Linked DNA regions of Arabidopsis thaliana. The protein of the gene in region 3 interacts with the protein of the main gene of each other region in a pairwise test. Each region holds a gene or a part of one and is shown on either strand. Other genes may lie near its edges.

Evidence for each region.
Region 1: the proteins of BIR1 (region 3) and GP ALPHA 1 interact in a two-hybrid assay, tested with the Arabidopsis thaliana proteins (one study listed by BioGRID).
Region 2: the proteins of BIR1 (region 3) and AGG2 interact in a two-hybrid assay, tested with the Arabidopsis thaliana proteins (one study listed by BioGRID).

Annotation. Positions count from the first base shown.
Region 1 is NC_003071.7:11,193,673-11,199,014, forward strand, and holds the start of GP ALPHA 1 (G protein alpha subunit 1), read left to right. Parts: upstream 1-3,323; 5' UTR 3,324-3,796; exon of another isoform or gene 3,797-4,148; intron 4,149-4,285; 5' UTR 4,286-4,414; coding exon 4,415-4,474; intron 4,475-4,562; coding exon 4,563-4,635; intron 4,636-4,730; coding exon 4,731-4,768; intron 4,769-4,858; coding exon 4,859-4,948; intron 4,949-5,123; coding exon 5,124-5,201; intron 5,202-5,303; coding exon 5,304-5,342. Other genes in the region: ARSK1 (root-specific kinase 1), read right to left, coding at 177-587. UniProt on the Arabidopsis thaliana protein: Exhibits a fast rate of basal nucleotide exchange. Guanine nucleotide-binding proteins (G proteins) are involved as modulators or transducers in various transmembrane signaling systems.
Region 2 is NC_003074.8:8,131,309-8,136,650, reverse strand, and holds AGG2 (G-protein gamma subunit 2), read right to left. Parts: upstream 2,575-5,342; 5' UTR 2,177-2,574; coding exon 2,057-2,176; intron 1,336-2,056; coding exon 1,283-1,335; intron 1,203-1,282; coding exon 1,158-1,202; intron 1,069-1,157; coding exon 984-1,068; 3' UTR 447-983; downstream 1-446. Other genes in the region: ARFC1 (ADP-ribosylation factor C1), read left to right, coding at 1-287; AT3G22940 (F-box associated ubiquitination effector family protein), read right to left, coding at 3,945-5,183. UniProt on the Arabidopsis thaliana protein: Guanine nucleotide-binding proteins (G proteins) are involved as a modulator or transducer in various transmembrane signaling systems.
Region 3 is NC_003076.8:19,604,436-19,609,777, reverse strand, and holds the start of BIR1 (BAK1-interacting receptor-like kinase 1), read left to right. Parts: upstream 1-2,630; 5' UTR 2,631-3,030; intron 3,031-3,159; 5' UTR 3,160-3,245; coding exon 3,246-4,085; intron 4,086-4,171; coding exon 4,172-5,194; 3' UTR 5,195-5,342. Other genes in the region: AT5G48385 (FRIGIDA-like protein), read right to left, coding at 1-307.

The DNA.
Region 1 (5,342 bases), on a different chromosome or scaffold from region 3:
ATATATTTAATAACATACTGAAAAATGGCCAGATTCATATAGCTAATTAAGAAGATAAACCAAAATTCAAAAAATATATAAAATAATCGAGACGGTCTTCGTAATTAAATTGTTCCTTGTGAATAGAAAAGTCTTGAATGTAGACAAAAACATACATAAAGAGAAAGAAATGTTACCAGCCATTCTCTATGGCCTTGATGGCCATGAAGATCAAGAGCCTTTACAGCAACCGGTTGGGCTTCGATACCCGGTTTAACCTTATCATCAATAAACCCTTTGTAAACCGGCCCAAACCCTCCTTCCCCCAACATGTTACTTCTAGAGAAATTATGCGTAATCACTCTCAGCTCAGACAACGTGAACAAACGAAGCTTCTGCGATGTGAAGGAGTGAGAGAGATCATCCATAACCGACATGGGCGAGCTTGGATCGCTTATGTCCGATAAAGACAGCCTCTTGAACGCTGGACAAGTTCTTATTTTCATTACAGCCTTCTCCCCTCCTTCGTATTTGCTTGCGTTCTTTGCCTTGTAACACCCCAAGAACAGAGATGTCAATGATGTTTTCTTCTTCTTGAACACTGCCATTTTCAACTTCTTCTTTTGTGTTATTTGGGGAAAAAATGGAGAAAGTTAGTCTTTTACTCCTTTTGATGAATCTTTTGTAGAGTGCGTAGGTTTAGAAATTAAGGATGTTCTAGTTAACCTACTTGTCTTCAAAGTCCTCTAATTTATAGTAGTTGTTGTGTCTTATTCGTACTGACCGACCTTTGAGTTTTCAAATTTATTTATATATACAAAAAGTTTGCTTTTTTTTTTTTGTATTAGTTGTATAAAAATGTTGAAGTTATTTTTGGTGGATATATTTATATTGTTCTAAGCTCTATGCTGATATTTTTTTCAGGAGAAACACGATTCCATGTTCACATTAATCCTCACAATAATATTGAAAAATAACGCAAGTTGTTTTCTTTTTCTAATCACAATATAATCAATATTATTGATTATAAATTCATTCAGTTGTTTGTACTTAGACTTCATCTCACCAAAGTCTACGGGCTATATAATTTTGCTTATATATTCAATGAATTGAAAATTGTCTCTCGCTCTACATTCCAAATACGATCTCTCGTTTCATTATAGACTTAGTTCTGTCTAATAGTTTTTGTTGTAATAATTTAGGTAATTTAAAAATGATTTTGTGAATTTAATGGTGTCTCTCTATATTCCACTATCTCGATTTCTAGTTTCATAAGACTAATTAGTTATTTACTAATAGTTTTTGTTCTAATAATTTAGGCAATTAATTTAAAAATGATTTGGTATACATTTCAGGCTGGCAAATAAATATTACGTATAAAGAAGATTTGATTCGCCTTGTTGAAAGGAGAATGAGATGATTAGGCCATAATTGGATGTCCGTTGACTTTGTTTCTTCCATGATTAAAATTTAAGAAGTAAGGAAGAGAAACAAATTTGAACCATTGATTTTGTTACTCTTAACTAAATAATCATTTATTCAATAACTAAAGGTCGGTTGGTCTTCAGGTACGAACGTTCTTCTATACTAACTTGTAAATTGTAAACGTAACAGATTGTGCAGTAGAGATTGCGGTTACAAATGTTTGACAACGATCACAAAAATTGTTTAACACCGCGTATTCTTCCGCCAACGTTTGCGGCAGCGGGTGGTTAAAAATTACACTATTTTTAAGTTTTAAATTCAAATAAATTTAATAACTTTTTTGACTCTTGGAGTCATGCTCTGAACACAAATGATTCATTTTCCGGAGAACATAAGTGCATTGTATCCGTCTAATCGTCCCAACATACTTCACTATAAATGTAATTTAATACTAACAATTAAATTGAAGTGTTGTTCGTCGCATGCATGTATGTACGTACAATAATTATATAGTTTCATTATCATAGAACTGTCGGGGAAATTGTGAATCATCACCAGCCGCCACATGAACTTATTTGCCGTTGTTCTGGTTTAAGGCTGGTAAGATTTATTCGGCGGCTGTAGGCCTGTAGCCCTTGAAATATGGTAGACAAGATCGTCCATATAATTAAGATTTTGTTTTTCACTTCTAAATTAATTAATGGGTGACTTGGGCGATTTTGTATTGTTGTTTAGTGGCTAGAAAGAAAACTTTTAACGATAAATTTACTTATGCAAAAATTATATTAGTTTAGTTTAGCAACTTTATATGTACTTAATTAGTAAAATAATACATTTAAATGTAAACTATTTGTACATATTAATGTTGTCCAAACAATATGCACTTTTTGAATTTTTTTACTGTATTCTCCACCTAGTTTTTCTAATTCATCCAAGCATTTTGATGAATTTGCATGTCTCCATAGATGAATTAGTATCTACTATCTCTAAAAACTCAATCTCCACCGAAGATATTGCTTAACCAATGTGCTCCTAGACCAAATCCAAAACCTTAGCCGCTTCATACTTAACATCCACTTTTGTAGCATCCTCAAACTGTTTTACAACCTTTTCAACCGGGACACAATCGCCTTGTCTTAGTAGTGAAGCGTAGGTTAATCATGGATGATGATTTTTGTTCTTTGACAACATCTGGTAAGGTTTTTGGTTTATGGCTCACCCTTTTTACTTTTTCGGTCTTTCTTATATAGTGTTTTGGTGGGTTTTTTCTCGTTCATTTTTCACGACCTTCTTATCCTATTACTAGGGTCATTAAATTGTTCGTTAGGTTAAAGAGATTTACAATATGAAACCGATTATGTCCATTAAAACGTGAATAAGACAGAAAAGAGCACCAAGAAAATGAAAAATAATTTAATGTATGTTCAGGAAATCCTATGAAAACATAATGATTGATCGGGTTTATTGGTTTTGTAGCTGGTGGTTTAAGTGGTTAGGGAAGCTATGTATTTATAATTTATTGATTCAATATGGTTTTGCATCTGAAATATATTTAAGCCCAACCAATAAATATACCATCACTCGCCAAGACCGTTTCTCAGTGGAAACATTTTGTGAGAAGTTCAAGTCGATGTTAATGATTGTAAGGATTTAACGGATGTGATGTTTTTGTAGGTTGAAGATTTAAAGTACTATATGATATGTTGTGTTTTTATCGATTTTGAATCTTTATTTTCTTTCCTAAATCAAAACTGCAATATATTTCCTAAGCTAGCAAAACCCATTCTAGATATAAGTAGAGTCCAGCTTGTAATGCAACTGCAAAGCAAAAATCAAGATATTTCGATACAAGGACTTGATGTCATAAAATTCCAAATTTGTTTTGTCTTGCCACACTTAGTAATTCTCTTCCAATAATGGTTAACTTAATAGTATATAAAATAAAAATGCATATAGGTTCCGTAATTAATCTTCTTTATCGTCACGAGAGGCACATCTTTTTTCAACATTTGACCACTCTCTCTCTCTCTCTCTCAGGACCTTTCGGCGTAATTTCGTCTTCCCCTTTGCTTAACATTTTCTTTCTTTCTTTTTGACCAAATATTAAAAATATATCCATTTTTATTTTATTTTTAATTAAATTCATAATTTGCATTTTATGTATTTATAATAAAAAGGAGAGAATAAATCCAAAAGAGTGAAGCAAAAACATTAAAGCGGAAAGAAAGTGGTAAAACAATAATAGAAACAGGAGAAGCAGAAGTACTACTTCTTCTTCTTCTGCTCTCTTCTCAGACCTTGTTTTGTACTTTCTTCTTCTTCTTCTTCTTCTTGTTTGCGAACTCCGATATCTTCTTCACTACCTTTGACTCCATTTCTTTTTCTTCTTCAGGTGAATTCTACTTTACTTTTCTTCTTACCCCAAATTTACTCTTTTGGGTTTTATGAAAGTTTTGTTTTTTATTACTCAGATCTTGTCCTAGTTCTCCTCCTTGTTCTGTTGTTTTTCTGTTTCGTTTCGAATTGGTTTTGTTTTTCAAGTTTAGGGTTTTGTAGATCAGTTCGTCGTTACTGTAGATTGGAAATGAAAATTATGATTCTTTGGATCTGATTATAGCAGTTCAAGTGTGAACTCTATCTATTACTTGATTTGCTATCTCACAGTTTTTGAATTTCTTAATGGTGTTAGCTACTCGACTTTTAGAGCTCATTTTCTTAACTACTGAACTTGTTTCATTTGAGAGGTACTAATCCAGTATATATTATAAAGTTTAATGCTTTTTCTTACTTGCATTCTTTGAACATGTTTGCTATTTTGGTGAGTGAAACTTTATGTATATTTATGAATTTTGAGCTAAAGTATTGATTGTTTCATAAGTAGGTGTAGGCATTGTCTTGTTATGAGAAGCAACTGTAGCTGGAAGCTCAAGTATTTGTTTTTAGCTGTGGAGCTTGAATCTTGATAGTTTTCGACTTCTATGTTATTACCTGTGGGGATATAGAAACAATCATGGGCTTACTCTGCAGTAGAAGTCGACATCATACTGAAGATACTGATGAGAATACACAGGTTGACTTAAGAGCTCTTGTAACACTCGATGTATGGGAGCATTATTTCTGATACTTCAAGAGTTAACTTGGTTTGTATTAATCTACAGGCTGCTGAAATCGAAAGACGGATAGAGCAAGAAGCAAAGGCTGAAAAGCATATTCGGAAGCTTTTGCTACTTGGTATGTAGACCTTGGATTAGAAATGTGAATGGCATGCCTTGATGAATCTTTTGGTAATAGTTTTCCTCTAATTTTCTGACTTGTGTTTTGTAAAGGTGCTGGGGAATCTGGAAAATCTACAATTTTTAAGCAGGCAAGTCCACAAGGAAAATTGATTGTACTCTTTACTTAAATTTACTTATGAATCCTGCTAATTGAATGATACAAATTTACTAATTTGCAGATAAAACTTCTATTCCAAACGGGATTTGATGAAGGAGAACTAAAGAGCTATGTTCCAGTCATTCATGCCAATGTCTATCAGACTATAAAAGTATGCAATACTTGAAATGACTGTGTCGGTTTTATCCTTCTAATTGGCGGTGTTTTCGAGTTCTTTTGGATTTACAATCTAGAGAATCATTTATATGAGTAATCAAATTTTTTTCATATGTTGATCTTGGTATATTGTACATGTAGCTTAATAGCTACTCTATATTGTTGAACAGTTATTGCATGATGGAACAAAGGAGTTTGCTCAAAATGAAACAGATTCTGCTAAATATATGTTATCTTCTGAAAGTATTGTAAGTGGTTAGATTCATAGGTCACTTGAGCTGTCTTTGTTAGAGTTTTGAGTCTTGTGAGTACCTTGTCTTATGGTAGTCAACTTATTATCGTAATATCAGGCAATTGGGGAGAAACTATCTGAGATTGGTGGTAGGTTA
Region 2 (5,342 bases), on a different chromosome or scaffold from region 3:
TTGTGGTTATAGATAGCACAGACAGAGCCAGAATCTCTTTCATGAAAGATGAGCTAGCCAGGTTACTTGGTCATGAGGATCTTCAAAACTCGGTCATACTAGTTTTTGCAAACAAACAGGATCTGAAAGACGCAATGACTCCTGCTGAGATCACGGATGCACTTAACCTTCACAGTATCAAGAACCATGATTGGCATATTCAAGCAAGTTGTGCGGTTACTGGAGAAGGATTGTATGATGGGCTCGGTTGGATTGCCCAAAAAGTTACCGGTAAAGCCACGAGTTAAGGGGAAACCAGAACTGAATCAGAGAGAGTACGTACTATTCTTCTTTGTTTCTTTTGTCTCCTTCATATGTTCTTTAACATTGTATCCTCTTGACTTTTATGTAACAAGCTTCAACTATTTTGGTTGCTCTCATTGAAACTGTGTCCAGAATTTTCATATATGGAAGAAAAAAATCTTGTTTTGTTTCAGATTTAAAACTACCACCAAACTCAAAATCCAAACGAACTAAAAACAAAAACAGAGCAACCATTAAAACAAGACAAGACACCATTGTAGCCTCTCTCAGAGCTCACCACAGTCTGCGATAACCACCGGCTTGGAAGGAATCCTGTTCAAAGTTCCAACCTCGTCTTCAATGCTCCTGAGCACGTCGAGTCCTTCAACAACTTGCCCGAACACGACATGTAAACCATCGAGAAACGAGAACTTTTCCAAGACAATCTGGAACTGAGATGCATTGGTGTGGGGATCACCGACGGCCACTGTGCTAGATTTTCTTGTGGTGGCGTGAATTTGGCACTGTGGTCTTCTTAAATTAAGAGACACATCAAGATCAATAGATTTTTTACTGCACAAATGAATCAATTTTTTTTTTTGCCAATTACATCAAATTCACTGCCGCGGGAACGTAAAAACACAAACTCACTCTTCTGGAAGAAGTAGAGACAAAAATATTTTGAGAGAAGGAAAGGAAGATCAAAGAATGGAGCAGCCACATCGTTTTGCTTCTTTAGGGCCTTCGAACCATTGATCCCATGTCGCATTCACCGGACCTGTTGTTCTGCAAGTAGTCACAAAAGCAAACATATCAGACCTAATCATCTCACAGTCTATTGAAATGAAACTATCAGAAAACAGAAGAAGAATTACTCGGGAAGAAGAGGATCGGGTTTGCTGTCAACACTGTCTAAGAACCTGCATCCATTCGAGAAACTAGTCAAGCTTGTGGAATGATTATTCGTGAACCGGATATCAGTTATGTAACAAGTTCTTACTCTTTGCAGGATGCTGATGCATTGTCCATCTTCTCAAGCTGCTCCAGCTCTTCCTGAATATAATAAATGAAGGAAGAAAGTTAAAACCTTGTAACGCTTTTAAGCAAGCATTTGAGTTCACAAATGTCATAACAGCTACGTAGACAAGAGCTTAAACCTCAAGGGATCAAGAGTCAAGATATTATTACACCTGAATGAAATATGCTCAAGAGCTTAAACTACATTTCAGTTTCACTCCTCACCATTCTTGAACCTTCCTAATTACTGACCCTGGTGATTTGTTTTATCAACAGAAGCATATTGTTCGCAAAGGATCTACTCTCTCACTCAAGTAACATTTAGCATCACAAAAATCTCTTTAAAAGGAGACAGTTCTACACTACATTTCTTAAAGTCAGATCGATTCCATTAATCTAAGATCCAATCTTGTTAAGCATATAAAAAGGAACTATATCAAGAGACAAGTACTATTAACTCACTAAAAGCAACCCCACAATACCAACTGCTACAACAAAACCTGTTTTTTTTTTTTCACTCATTGAATACCAACAACAACAAAAACCCCTAAATCAAATTGATTCCCAAAACTAAAAAAGTTTCAAACTTTGAAAGTCTCTACCGTACTCCACTCAGATTTATACTATTCCATCCAAAAAGAGCCGAAGCACAAAAACAACAGATTGATCCAATCTGTAATTATATGATATAATCAGCCAAAAGGCCCAAGCACGTCGAAACAAGAAAGGGTTTAAGATTAAGAGGAGAGTAAAATACCTCTAAGAATCGAGCTTCTTGTTCAAGCCTTTTGAGTTCAGCTTGAATCCTGTGTTTGCCTCTTGTATCAACGACCCGCCCGGATAGCTGACCCGACGAATTGGAGCTACCCGCTTCCATCAAAATTTCTCGAATTCAACCCTCAAAATAAAAATCGAAACTTTAACAAAAACAGATAAGAACCACAATTTTACTCAGACTAAAAGATCGCCATTTGAATATGGGAAACTCATAAACCTTCACAAAACCCCATTTGTTACTGGTTGGATACAAAAATTACAAGGATTCAGAATCAAACAGATCTTGAGAACTCCAACAAACAAAGAGAATAGAAGCAAATTTTATGAGGGGGCAAATAGAAAATTCAAAGTTATGAGTTGGGGAGACTTGAAAAAGAGCTTTTCCGATGATCGAAAGGCGAGAGAAAAAAATATATATAAAAGTTGCGATTTTGAAAAAGACGAAAGTCGACGGAAATAAGAAAAACAAAACATTATTTCAGTCTTGATGGCCATAAACATAAAACTTTCTTCTTGAAACCTCAATAACTCATGTTTATTTTTTTAAAAAGTTAACCAATCATAAAATAGACCATATAATATATATATATAATTATAAAAATAAAAAAATCTATAATTTGCATAAAATTTTGAAAACATTCGAAACAAAAATTTCTCCAAAACACTTATATTGTGAAACTAAGGGAATGTTATTTTCATACTAATCATCTTGCACATTTTTCTTTCTTTATATATTCCCCATAATATTTTATTTCTCGTCATGATCGATCATTCCATGGATCCACATTAATTATCTTTAATCCAATATGTTTTATTATTTCTAGTTTTAACTTCAAAGCTTTTTTTTTTTTTTCTCAGCACATATAAGAATTGATTTTTATTTCCTAATTAATGATGATCCCCATTAGGCCATTATGCACCAAGATCTTCTAAAGAGATACATATCGGACAGAAGAATAGTCAGAAGTACAAATGGTCTGGTTTAAAATATTTGCTACTCAGAAGGTGAGGCAGATTTGACTGAAGAAGATGTTTATGAAGATAACGACCTAAGAAGAAGAGGATGTGGAAGACTTCCAAGATGTCAAAGAGTAAGAAGTTGAATATATATCCCAAAATGGTGGATGGTAATCTTTTAGTTTGAGCATGAACAACTTGCTCTTGTCTTTGATGTTTCCAAGGACTGATAATGCACCTGACCCTCTCACTAAAAAGACTCTGCTACTGAAATTCTGCTAGATAGATATATCGACAATGCCATCTAGTCGAGTCGCTGGTTCGGTTTTAAAAACTTTGTAGAGACTAGGCCAGATAACAGAAGCTATCTCTAAATTATATTATCGAAAACCTGAGGTTCCACCATCTTTAAATTTTAAAAATCTGATTAATATCATGTCCTTTAGCATGAAGCCATGTAATATATATATTTTTTTTTTTGATAAGAATGTAAATATCATATAAAATGAAAGTTTAGGAGTTACAAGAAGCAAAACCTACAAACATGGTCCCATGCCAAAAAAAGGAAAAAAACATGGAAGCATAATCCTTTCGAGATTCATCGCATCAACTAAACCTTAAGCGATGAGGCTCTTAGTAAGAAGATGAAGAAAACTCGATCTAAAGACTCCCCTAAGCAAGAAAGTGGCAACAAAAAAGAGCGGTCTAAACTATTGATCGACAAAAAAGCGCACAGGAAGTCCTTTCAACAATGGCCCGAAACAAACTGAGACGGAGCTATACGGGCAAAAATCGGCTGGCAATGCTTTCTCACTCTACCAAGCTCCTGATGAAGCCATGTAATATTTAGTAAAGTATCAGTCTAAAACATAGCAGTAATAAATCGAAGTACGAGCCAAGAAACATAAATCTTACTGTTGATGACATTCAAGTGACATACTTAATGTCCAAGAACTTTGGGTTTTAAGTGCGCGAAGTTTCGATATGTTTCGAACATATTGACGCTTTTCTAACTTGCTTTGCTGTTTCCTTTGGAATCCTGCAGGTTTCTTGATTTGCACTAAACTCGGAACATAAGAGCACACAAGTGGGCAACGTCTTTTATTAACCGGTTCTCCGAGATCAACTTGTCCACCATATCCAGCCTCTCCCATGATGTGAACTGTGTCGCCGCGATCCAAAGTTTTATCAAAAATCATAGCAACTTTCTTCTCCTCGTCGATGAAAAAACTACCATATGTCAGTGAACTCGGAATCTCATCACCCAAATCAACATTCACTGTCAAGAACTTGCTCCACAATACCTCATTGGCCTCAATCTTAATCGTAATCCAAACCTCAACAACATCCTCGTGACAAACTAAAGCCGCAAGCTTCTCCTCTCTAACACAAGCTAGAGTAACAACACCATCCAAATCACTAAACGGCAAAAGCAGAAGCGGACCAAACCTCTCACTTGTGAAATCAAAACAGATTATATGATCAGCATTGAGAAAAAGGTCAGAGTTCCTTTTTTTAGCACACCAGTAAGTGTTTCCCTTGAGAGTAACACCACGGTTACCACAATTTATCAACCAATGTGGAGTAGTAACATCAAGAGTCGTCCATAAATCAGACTCAAAATCATAGATTTCATACCACAAAACAACGTTGTCTCGAGGGTAATGGAATTCATAATCTATAAACCTCAAGATCTTGTGGTTGCGTCTCTTGTTGTCGTATCCAATAGCGTACCTGTACATGTCACATCCCTGGGGTATTTCGAAAGAACATCTGGGTTTGATCCACCTTGTTTGTCCCCAATACGGGTTCCAAACAACAAGACTAAAGTTATCATCTTTCAAGATACATAACAACAAACCCTCACAGTGAAAAACTTGAGATATCTTGACTTGTTCTGAATCTGAATCGTCGTTTAGACAAATACGTTTACCTTTAATCTCTACAGAAGTATCACTGCCGAAGAAGAAGCTCACTAAATGAAGATTGTGATCCATCAACACGACCATCTGAGACTCTCCTTCTCTTGCTGCTGCTGCTTTACTAATAAAGCTCCGATTTTTGAATAAAGAGTCCCACTTTTTGCAAGTCGATCTCACTGCTCTCGTAGACTTCAATGGAAGTCTTGAGAGTATCTCTTCTAAGGGCATCTCCAACCACAACACTAAAATTGTGTTAGAATAACACTATATTTGGTGTGATTTTCACACTAAATTCTTTTTCATCTCCAACCACAACACCAAAAGTCACACTAAAAATACTATTCTCTATTATTATATTATTAACCTAAAATATGAATACTTTAAAAA
Region 3 (5,342 bases):
CGTCTCTCTTCTTCTGAAGCCTTTCAAGCGCCGCCTTCTCCTTAGCCTCAACAGCTGCCTTCTTTTTCTCCAACAGTTCTTGAGCTTTCCTTGTTTTGGTTTCATACTCTTTTTCTTGATCTTCAAGCTCATGAAACCTTCTCTTCAAAGACCTCTCAAGCCCATGAAAATGCTCCTCAAGTTCCTTCCACTTCAGATTAAGTGTTACAGCACGCTGACTTTCAAGTTCAGCAAACGCCTTCTGAAGCTGCTGAATCTTGGATGATGTAGAGTCCATGAGTGAAGCAACTGACCGAGTATCCTCCATCACAAAAGAGCCTAAATAAAACGGAAATTTAAGTAATGATTAAAAAGTCCCGAACAAATAAAAACAAACATGAGTACAACGACATTAGAGGCCAGACACAATATTGTTACCAATTCAAACAAGTCCAATCTCCAAGCTGCGAATAGAGAGCTCCACGAAATCTCGATCCTTGAACAACAAACAACTACAAAAAAAAAAATCATCAAGAACAGATAAACAAAGATCAGTCAAAACTATCCAATGACAATATCACTCGTTAAAGATAAAAACAAATTAGCTCTGTAACAAGACCGTACAAGTCATAGTGGACAACTATGTAAGAAAATGGCCTACAAGGCAAGTAAAGACAAATGAACAAGAAACCCCCAAAAAAATGAATCCATTCAAGAAAAATTCACACTATTTTTTAGTCACAAAGATAATTCAACCTCAAGAACTAATCAGACGTACTTATAAAAAAATTAGCTGAAATAATACAAATACAGATTAAGAGAAGAGTAGATGACGAAATGAGAGTAGAAACAAGCAAGCTGATTCAGTGATTCTATGAAATCCCAGCTTAATCCATCACATAAACAAACTTCACGACCAAAATTCAAGGTCATAGCAGAAATTTTGAGCTATATTGTGGAGAAATCAACAAACCCTAGCTACAGTGAAGAGAACACGAACATGAACTCAAAACAAAAAAAAAGTATATACCTCAAGAGAAGATAAAAAAAAAGCAACTTTACCAGGAAAATCAAACGAAGTAAAAACCCGTAAGAAGAAGAGATCAAAAAACTTCAAGAAGGACCACATGATCGTAGATCCATGGTGAAGAGCGATCGAGAGAAATCGAGGTTAGGCAGAGAGAGAGAGAGAGAGAAGAGGAAAGTGAAATCCCTAAAAAGGAAAGAGGAAAGTAGAAGAGAGGCAAAATAAAAGGAAGCAAAGCGATTTATAACAGACACTTTATTAAGCACACCCAATTTTACTTAGTTGGCACGTGAGAGAGACTGGTGTGGTTTAATGGCTCGTTCTTCACTATCATATCTGGTTCGGACCAGACAGCTTATGTGGCTCTAGTCAAACCCTTTAAAGTTTGCGTCACGTGAGTTTGTCTGAAACTGCCGGGAACTTGTAATTTACTCTTTCCTCCTTTTTTTCTATTAATTGGTATATTCACCATCTATGTGTATCAATCACTCTTTAAATTCCTTAACTTTTTTTACCAAACACCCAATCTTTTTAACCTGTTGACGAAGCTTTGGCTTCATGCTTAAGGCTATGTTATAATGGGGAAAAAACTAGATTGCACAATCTTTCATAGACTGATATTCTTCATCGGATGTTTCGATCATATAAATTGTCTCCAAGGATGAAACTATGTGTCTAATTTTTTTGAATGCAAAATTTATATATGATTGTTTTCTTAATAAGAGCAACAATGAAAATATAGTTTGGTTATACATTGGTATTTGTCAAAGAGGAAAGACTAAACCAAGAGTAAATAAATCTTACAACTTCCCAAATTGTTGGAATTCTACAATTGTATTATATATGGTGAATGATTTGGTACAAAACATTACAAATATCAAATGAATTTCGAAGTTGGTTCAGGTCACGAATGGCGGATTTGGCTTGGGAGAGACTAGAGGTTGTGATTCGTGGTTTATCTCCTCTCTAAAATCGTTATGTTACAAACTGACTATCAAGGATAATCATATCAATCAAGATAATGAAGAGAATCAATATCGTCAATCACGTTAATTGCTCATAATCATTGTATACAATATTAAGTTTCCTTCAGTAGCTTTCTAGTCTTTGTATATAAACACTCTGTAATCATCTTGTTTCATATATTCGATATACTCTTAGTCTACATGGTATTAGAGTCTCTGTATATAAACACTCTGTAAAATTTCTAAAATCGTTATGTTACAAACTGACAATACATAAACAACACGAATTAACATTTTGGGGTGTTTGCTGAACCGTGGTTGGCGGGTACATCTGCTAAATGAACAAGCTTTTTATATATATATATATATATATAACTGTCAACCCATAATTTAAAGATTCCAACAACAACAAAATAAGTACTACTCCTAATAAGTATTTAAATATGTGACATGATATTCAATTTTTGTGATACAAATTATTATGCATTGGTATTTGTCAAAAACTAATACCAAGAAAACATTTCTTGTAAATGTCATATTCCATTCTTTGATTTGGTCAAAACACCAAAACCATTTACAAAATATCCAGAATTATCTAAAAACGAATGAAAAGCGAAAAATACCAAATGGAAGAAAAATTTGTCCATCTCCTAACAAACAAGATAATATATATGATGATGTTGAAAAGTCAAAAAGAGAAGAAAGAAAAAAAAAACATTTAACGCGCAAAGACCGATTTGGTTTTTGTTGGGAGTCATTGCGTTCTCATCATCAGTGTCTCTCTTTTCTTTGCCCCATTCTTCACGAACTTTCACTAGACGACGACGACGATCCAAAGTCCCAGTCAACTCACTCACAAAGACGACTCCTTTATTAAATTATTCCCAACTCCTTTCTTCATCATCATCATCATCATCATTCATAACCACTTAGCCACAGATGCGATTTTCTTCTCCTTCTTCATTGTGCTCTTCAACACTTATGAACAAGAGCACCACCACCACGACAACGACGACTACAAAGACCAAAGCTTTCGTTTTGTGTTTCTGATTTTGATTCGTAAGTTGTTGTAAATTTTTCTAAGTCAACTTCAATTTTAAAGATCGCTTTAGTCTTTTTGATTCGCTGGCGATAATCCAATTTTCGTTGTTGCTAATAAAGTTTTGATTTTTTTTTATTTGCTTACAGGATTTTGATGCTCATCGAAGAGAACCCTTGATTTTGTTGCTGTAGTTCATAGAGATTTTACACATTTTGTGGAATTTAGTGGATTTATGATGATGGGTAGGTTAGTTTTTGTAATCTGGCTCTATAATTGTCTCTGTTTGCTGCTACTCTCGAGCTTGGTTGACGCGGATCAGGCCAACATAGATTGCTTAAGGACCTTTAAATCTCAAGTAGAGGATCCAAATAGATATTTATCGACTTGGGTTTTTGGCAACGAGACTGCTGGTTATATCTGCAAGTTCAGTGGTGTGACTTGTTGGCATGATGATGAGAATAGGGTTTTGAGTATTAAGCTATCTGGTTATGGTCTTAGAGGAGTGTTTCCTCCTGCGGTTAAGCTATGTGCTGATCTCACTGGTTTAGATCTTTCTAGAAACAACTTCTCTGGACCTTTACCAGCCAACATTAGCACCTTGATTCCACTTGTTACGATTCTAGACCTCTCCTACAATAGCTTCTCTGGTGAAATCCCTATGTTGATCTCCAACATTACCTTTTTGAACACTCTTATGCTTCAGCATAACCAGTTCACGGGTACTCTTCCTCCCCAGCTAGCGCAACTTGGACGGCTCAAAACATTCTCTGTGTCTGACAATCGTCTCGTTGGTCCTATCCCAAATTTCAACCAAACCTTGCAGTTTAAGCAGGAATTGTTTGCTAATAACCTGGATCTGTGTGGTAAGCCTCTAGATGACTGTAAGAGTGCTTCTAGCTCTCGTGGTAAAGTTGTTATTATAGCGGCAGTTGGTGGACTGACTGCAGCAGCATTAGTCGTTGGGGTTGTTTTGTTCTTCTATTTCCGTAAATTGGGTGCTGTTCGGAAGAAGCAGGATGATCCTGAAGGAAACAGATGGGCAAAGAGCTTGAAAGGACAGAAAGGTGTTAAGGTAAAAACATCATTGATTTGAATTTTGCTGTATGTGGTTATGTTCTAAATTTATGATATATGTTTGGTGCTTTTGTGAATGTTCAGGTTTTCATGTTTAAGAAATCGGTTTCAAAGATGAAATTAAGCGATCTTATGAAGGCAACAGAGGAATTCAAGAAAGATAATATCATTGCAACAGGAAGAACAGGAACTATGTACAAAGGTAGGCTTGAAGACGGGTCTCTACTTATGATAAAGAGGTTGCAGGATTCTCAACGCTCTGAGAAAGAGTTTGATGCAGAGATGAAGACTTTGGGCTCTGTTAAAAACAGAAACTTAGTCCCTCTCTTGGGCTATTGTGTTGCCAATAAGGAGAGGCTTCTAATGTATGAGTACATGGCAAACGGTTACCTTTATGATCAGTTACATCCTGCAGATGAAGAATCCTTCAAGCCCTTGGATTGGCCTTCAAGGCTGAAAATCGCGATTGGGACGGCAAAAGGATTGGCATGGCTTCATCATAGCTGCAACCCGAGAATCATCCATCGCAACATAAGCTCGAAATGCATATTGTTGACTGCAGAGTTTGAGCCAAAGATCTCGGATTTCGGTCTAGCTAGGCTGATGAACCCAATTGATACCCATTTAAGCACATTCGTCAATGGAGAATTTGGGGATTTCGGTTATGTTGCTCCCGAGTATTCAAGAACCATGGTTGCAACTCCAAAAGGAGATGTCTACAGCTTCGGTGTTGTGCTTCTAGAGCTAGTAACGGGCCAAAAAGCAACGAGTGTAACAAAAGTATCTGAAGAAAAAGCTGAGGAAGAAAACTTCAAGGGTAACCTCGTGGAATGGATTACAAAGCTATCAAGTGAATCAAAACTGCAGGAAGCAATCGACAGGTCCTTACTTGGGAACGGTGTGGATGATGAAATCTTCAAAGTACTCAAAGTAGCATGCAACTGCGTTCTACCGGAAATAGCAAAGCAGAGGCCAACCATGTTTGAAGTTTATCAGCTTCTAAGAGCCATTGGAGAGAGCTACAACTTCACCGCCGATGATGATATCTTAATCCCATCTGAATCAGGTGAAGGCGATTTCATTGAAGAGCTCATAGTTGCTCGTTGATCAAGAGGAAGGGTAAGAATTGTGAAACAAACATCTCTAGTCGTAGCAGTCCAAAGATATATATAATGTATAAGTATTGTTTTTATTTTATTTTTGGGTTCTCGTCGTCGATGGTGTGTTGTAATATGATATATTGTTAGATGCACTC